2 linked regions of the Arabidopsis thaliana genome follow. The protein of the gene in region 1 purifies or fractionates together with the protein of each later gene. This does not show direct contact. Each region holds a gene or a part of one and is shown on either strand. Other genes may lie near its edges.

What was found. Proteins that work in one complex are often made in the same cells at the same time.
Region 2: the proteins of AT1G16740 (region 1) and AT5G55140 fractionate together in Arabidopsis thaliana (co-fractionation; one large-scale study listed by BioGRID). This does not show direct contact.

What each region holds. Positions count from the first base shown.
Region 1 is NC_003070.9:5,725,969-5,729,664, reverse strand, and holds AT1G16740 (Ribosomal protein L20), read right to left. Parts: upstream 2,044-3,696; 5' UTR 1,893-2,043; coding exon 1,707-1,892; intron 910-1,706; coding exon 715-909; 3' UTR 550-714; downstream 1-549. Other genes in the region: AT1G16750 (GPI-anchored adhesin-like protein, putative (Protein of unknown function, DUF547)), read left to right, coding at 1-52, 133-444; UP6 (uncharacterized protein), read left to right, coding at 2,353-2,817, 2,905-3,048; HCF173 (high chlorophyll fluorescence phenotype 173), read right to left, coding at 3,417-3,488, 3,567-3,614.
Region 2 is NC_003076.8:22,379,358-22,382,694, reverse strand, and holds AT5G55140 (ribosomal protein L30 family protein), read right to left. Parts: upstream 1,700-3,337; 5' UTR 1,583-1,699; intron 1,363-1,582; 5' UTR 1,326-1,362; coding exon 1,134-1,325; intron 1,046-1,133; coding exon 908-1,045; 3' UTR 501-907; downstream 1-500. Other genes in the region: AT5G55150 (F-box SKIP23-like protein (DUF295)), read left to right, coding at 1-420; AT5G55135 (uncharacterized protein), read right to left, coding at 2,309-2,566, 2,656-2,736; AT5G55132 (Defensin-like (DEFL) family protein), read right to left, coding at 3,226-3,337.

The sequences.
Region 1 (3,696 bases):
GGAACCTCTAGTGTCATTTGCTCTCAGCTGCGGGATGCACTCATCTCCTGCGGTAATATTTCCATATCTATCTGCATTTTACATCAGATTCTTGAACCGATATTGCAAATTTCTCACAGAAATTGCTTGCAGGTGAGAATATACTCAGCCGAGAACGTAGGAGAAGAACTTGAAGAAGCTCAGAAAGATTATATCCAGGCGTCAGTGGGAGTGAGCCCAAGGGGAAAGTTGATTGTGCCCCAAATGCTTCACTGTTTCGCCAAGAAATCTGTCGATGACTGCAAGGTTGCTCTGTGGATTTCTCGTCATTTGCCTCCTCGCCAAGCTGCATTTGTTGAGCAGTGTATTCACAGGCGACAATGGTGGGGTTTTCTGGGTTCATCTAGTAGCAAATGCGGCATAGTTCCTTTTGATTCACGGTTCCGATATTTGTTTCTTCCGTAGCAAGGCATTGATTCACAATGATGTGATTAAAGCAAATACTGTTCCGATCCTAGGGTTTAGATCTATGATTATTTAGGTGATTCAATCTTATTTTCTCAAACTAATAAACAAATAAATGGATTTAGATCTGCTCAACGAAATAAAGAAGACGAAATACATTCTCTCAAATTGCAAAAGTATAGTAATATCACCGGGGTACATGTTATTCTGACAAATAACTAAATATTCCGTGTTCATAAGAAGGACAAGATTAAACTAACTTGGTCCTAACTAGGCATTGATGGATGAAATGTCTACTTTCCGAGATGCTTGGACCACGTTCTTGTTTCCAGGGAACGACTTGCGGGAGACATCCACAAGTGCTTTGAAACTGTAAGGTTCATGCATAGATAACTCAGAGAGGACTTTGCGGTTCAGCTGGATGTTCTCCTTCATCAGTCCATGGATGAAGTTCCCGTAGTTCACCTGTTTCAAGTTTTAGATGTTAGGATTCCAATCAAACATGTCATTTCCATCTTATTCAAAAGAAACAGAGTATTATAATAGCATATATTTAGCTTGTTACAAAGCTAAAACGAGGTAACCGAGTTAGAAAAATATGTTTCTCTACTTGAATTAGGAAGTAATCATTGTTTCAGTTAGATCAAAACTATTGACATGAAATGTGTTTTTCCTCTAATCAATCCGAAATGATTCACTTCTTTAAGCATATTTGAGTTTCAAATTAAACATTCACATCCAAAATCTCCATTGGATAAATATCTCAAACTCAGATATTGGAAAGCTCCAAATTGATCAAAGATACAACAGTAAAATCTGAAGAAAATAAGCTAATCTAAAATGCACTTTAATTCAACTATTCAATCTAATTCTTTCGCTTCTAGTTATAACCAACAAGTTTTAACTCTATCACTAGGTAGATGCAAACATAGAGTGCCACTGCATAAGAAAAATCTCTAGAATACAGCAAAAAAGTTAAGACTATAATGTAATCCATCAAGTTCTGTTTGAAACATCAAACTAGAACTTGTTATACTAGCAACCACAGACTCTGGAGAAATCAAGCACCCAAATTTAACAAAAGAAAACCCTAAATCCCAAGCTCCATCCTAAAAGAAACTCATCATAGATTGCAAAAATAAACCAACCAATATCTCAGAAGTTTTATTTATAAACTAATCATGATTTATCGAATCAATGCAATTAGCAGTGACGGGAAGCAAATAGGCAAAAATCTAATCAATATTGGGGGGAAAACGTACACCGTGCTGACGAGAACCGGCGTTGATGCGCTCGATCCAGAGACCTCTCATCTCACGTTTCTTGTTGCGCCTATCTCTGTAAGAGTACTGCAGAGCTTTCTCGACTCTTTCCCTCGCAATTCTTATACAATTCTTAGCTCTTCCTCTGAAACCCTTCGCTAGCTTGAAGATCTCCTTCTTGTTCATCTTTTCTCTTTATTCTTCTTCCTCCTCTATCTATTCTTCGTCCTTCTCTCACTAATACTGTAACTCCATTTCCTTCTTCTAACGCCGCCTCTGTGTATCCCCCTTCTGTTTCAATTCCGGGTCGATCGGGTCGGGTCGTAGACAAATCCGGTCACACAATTATTAAAACCAATTCTCCATCTACTGGGCCTTTATTATATAACATCACAAACTAAACAAAGCCCACTATCCCATCCAGTAACTCCCGACAGAGGACACGTGTTGCCATGTCATTACCACGTGTCACAAGCTTTCCAACTCTGCTTCATTTTCCCGGGAAACAAACAAAAACAGAACCATTATTACTTTTCCGGAAACAGAATTTAAGTGGCTTTGCTCTGTTCTTCTCGACCCATCACACAGAAAAAACCAAAAAAAGAAAGAATTTCAAGTTTTCAACTGTCAAAATCTTGTAGTAGTAATGGAAAATCATCACCGAATATCCGCCACAAAATACAACGGCGAAGCAGTGTCGGACGATGTGGGCCAGGGGAAGCTATATTCTCCAAACCACGCGATCAAAATCTCTCCAGAATCCGACGAAAACGTGGGCCAAGGGAACCTCTACTCTCCTGACCACGCGATCAAAATCGCAACGAACCCTGATTCCGTGGATTCCTCATCAGAGGAAGAAGAAGGAGAGAAGCAGAGGAAGACGATCATGTTGGGGCTGAAGAATCTTGCGGCGGTTAAGGATAAAGTGTTAGAAAAACTATCGGCTGCTTCGGTTCCATCTGAGTCGCTTGAAAACGCTAAACAGTTTTTGGAAGGAGCCATTAAGGATTTCGCCGGAGCGGCGCAGGGTATGACGAAAGACGCGTTGCACCGGATTAAAACTCAGCTCGCTGTTATTGTTCCGTCTGTTTCTCCTGCCGTCACCGAAAAGGTTTAGTTTTAAAAACAATTGGTCCACCGGGTAAACTAATTTGGACTCTTTTTTGGCTGACTTGTGAATTTACTTTTGACGGAGCAGATAGTGGACGATGCTGAGAAAGAAGCCATTGACGGAGAGGAAGAAGATGAGAGCAAGTCAAAAGAAAGCTCCGGAAAGTTGCCGTTTGTTTCTCCGACATCTTCGTTTTTCAGCTCTCTCGCCAAACCTTTCTCCAAGCTTTGATGGGTTTGTGTCGTACGCCTTCATGACTATCTGAGATAAATAAGACAAAGTCTGAGATCTTCTGAAGTTTCAATGTTTACTTATAATGAATGAAGATACTTTTTATGTTTATCATTCAAAATATTATGAGTTTTGTGTAATAGAAAACTGGGTTTCACACCCTTTTTATTATGTTGGTGGCCTTGGATTGTTTGTATTAGCACACAAATTTTAAGTTGAATATAAGAAATAAATGGTAATGGACATAAAGAGACCAAAGAGATTCTTGTATGTACAAGTTATACATGTACGTATGTATATATGCATGTAATGCGTATCAGAGCTTGAGATGTGTACAATATACAAAATGGAATCAATGATTCTTCTTCTCATGTGTTCTTCTCAAGTACAGATAAAGCCGGAGTCAGATAGTTGTTCGCCTTGTCTGGCAAATGAGCCACCTGAAAGAGACAAACACTATCAGATGATGTAATGATGTAGATGTGACTCTTATTGCAAGTGATTGTTTACTCTTTTACCAGCTCATAGAGTTCTATTCCTTGCTCAGCAACGTATTCATGGCAAACCTGTAAAAACCAAATGGAAGAAATTTGAGAGATCCATGATGTGATTTCTTCTTTATAGATCAAAGATTGAATCTTTCTTAGT
Region 2 (3,337 bases), on another chromosome or scaffold:
AGCACCTCGCCGTTTCGGTACGACTCTTGCAAGAAATACTTGGCAGAGTCGGATTACGACGAACTGTGGGTGGTCCTAAAGAAGCTGGAGCTTAACGACGATTGTGATTTCGAAACCTCTTTCGAGATTTACGAATTCAATCGCGAGACTAACGAATGGACAAAGGTGATGAGCTTGAGAGGAAAAGCTTTGTTCTTGAGCCCTCAAGGTAGATGTATAGCTGTTTTAGCAGGTGAGAGAGGATTTTTCAAAGACAACTCAGTTTATTTCATTGATGGTGATGATCCAAGTGTAGGAGGATCAGGGCCTCAGAATCTGAGCGTTTTTGAATGGGAGAGTAAGCAAATCATGAAAATTTACCAGCCAAGATCTTGGAATTGTCAGATGTTTTGGGTCACACCAACAGACGTTCCTCAGTGATGAATGACTGATGCATTGTAGAATTTGTAGTTTGCATAGTATAGGTTTTGTATTTCAAATTTCAATTCTTTGATACATTACAATTGTCATCATACATTTTGGTTCTTCATCTGTAACATATATATTAAGTTATGATTATTTCAGCATCTATCTTTCTCTCACTACTTTCATTAATCAAATTGAAAGGTAACTTTTTTGAGAATCAACTTTCACATTCTCAATCTTGAAACATTGGCCACAAAAAAAAAAAAAAACCGATAGATTTGAGATTGACAGAATGAGAGCAAAACATACACAAGTATCCAGTGTATACAAAAAACATAAAGAGGCACCAAACACACTGATACCAACATTTCTTATCAAGCGTCTAGGACTAGTTTACTTCCTGGACACCTTTAGAGAGAACTTAAACATAAGCCGCCTACAATATCCAAGCGGATCTTATCGAACTGACGGTAGAAGAGCTTACCATCTTATGAAAGTACTCTCAAGACATGTTGGATGAATCTGTTGCAGGACTCGAATGACTGACAACGAGAGGCGGGCGCAAAGCTTTGTGGTTGGCTTCTGCTTCTTTACGAGCATTGTACATTTCTTCTGTTTCAACAACAACCATCCTTTTAACCTACATAGAGGCAAAACCAACCATCACAATTTTGAAATCTAGGATTTTATGACAAATGAGAATAGATAAAAAGATAAAGGAAGAGAACCTGATCAATCATTCCCCTAATGGATGAATTGTTTGAATGCAAAACAGTACGATGACATCTACGAAGTCCCATAGCTTCAAGTGTTCGTCTGTGAAGCTTCCTTGTTCCAGGGAGACCTCTTACTAAGGTTATGTACAAGCTCTGGCTCCATTCAATAGGCACTTGTGCTTTGAAAGCTCTAAAACCACTCATTCTTTTTTTTTTTTGTCTCCTTTATCACTCAATCTCTCTGTAACCATTAACAAAATCATAATCAAGCAATCACACAGAATTCACCGTAGAAATCAATAGATACAATAAACGAAGACGATTGATAACATGAATCATGAGAGAGTGAATCATCACGAATTGAAACCAAATCAGATCGATCAATTCAGAAGAAAAGAGGAGCTGCATAACGCGAGATTTCAATTAGGTGTTTGAGATAGAAATGGATGGTTTTCGAGTACCTTGAGGAAACAGAGACGGGAGAAGTCCGGTGAAAGAGATCGTCGACGAGTGTAGTCAAGACGGCGAACAGAGCTCGGAAAATCTTTGAGATTCGCGTTTAAGGGTTTTAAGCTTTTAGCGGAACAATGGTTAAACGACAGCGTTTTGTAGATTAGCTTAATTATTTGGGCTTTATCTGGGCCCAATTATTGGCTCCTTTACCTTTTTATAATTTGTTCAAAAATTACTAGATTGGTTTCATTTTTTTTACATCAATCTTTAGATTTATTAATCTTGCAAAAACAATTTATTTCAGAAAGTGTATGATGAACAGTCAAATTCCACTGCTCTCATCACTAGTTCTAACCTCTAAATTGGTAAAAGCTATTTGCTAGGTAGGTGTATTATTTAAGGTTTTTCTACCTTCTATAAGTTCAATAGCTTTAAATCTTGGGGTTGATCAATATTATTACTAATGAGTAATGATGCATTATTAAAAAGAGAAAATTATCAAAGTAAATTATATTTATACAAAAGTAGTAGCTAAATTACATAACTAAAAGAAATCGGTAAACTTACAAATATTGGTAGACAAGAAAAAGAGAGAAAAAGGGCAACCGTTCTTCTATCCATTACTCGATTTATTATACAAAGTACATGAAGCCTATAATATTACATACATGATACATGATGCATATTATTACATACTACTACTTTACAAGTGATATCTAACAAATGCACATACGTTATATTCCTTTAGCCGTGTTGATAGGCAAACCATCATCATCATCCTCAGGTCTCTTCTTATAATTATAGTCTTTCTTATCTAAAAACGCCTCTTTCACCTTCTCCACATCCGCCTCAGAATCACCGGAGACGTTTACCGCCACCGCAGCTCCGTCAAAAGCCTTCTCAACTGTTTGGCTAGCAACACCTTGTCTTGTGAACTCCTCCGCCGTCGAAGAAGCTCTTCCTTCTTCCCTCCCTCCACTCGCACTTCCTCTCTACATATTAAGAAAACATCTCCAAAAATCTTTGTATATATATATAGTTAATCTATTTCATGAAAACGTAGGAATATCAGAATATATACCTTGAGATAAAAAGAGTAAATACATGATGTTGTTATATTAGGCTTGGAGATTGATTTTGGGTTCACATAATTTCTCAACATTTTTTCTTCGGAGGTCTCTTATTTTTGCAGCTTAGATTAGATCAAGTACCATAGATGAATTTTCCTATAGCAGTTAATTGAGACTTTTGATGTCTCATCAACGGAGGTTATGATTATGATGCCACGTGTGTGTGATGCGCCGTCGTAGCCAAAAGATGACATGTTTCCCAGGGTTAGTCACGACGTCATGCAATTTCCTTTGTAGTTAAATCCAATATACGAAGATTTCTATTTCATATTCTACAGTTTCATACATAACTTTACATGATCGATTTGACAAAATCGATGTCCTAATGACATTAACTATAAGTCGAACCGCTGTCGTTTTTCTTGTGGATTTTATTGTGTACATGTATTGAATTCTTATAAACATTTTGATGAGAGAGATTGGGGGTTGGATCAGGATGAGATTATATCAATTATCATTATATAAATATATGTTTTTAATAATATCTTATGATCGAGAGTACATATAGAATAAGAGATCAATCAATTGATGACCGGACTGGAGATGGGAGAATTAGAATAATTGTTGCAGCAACAAAATATTTTAACAGCCCCGTGAATTTTAGCGCTTTCACAATACCCTCCGCCTCTCATC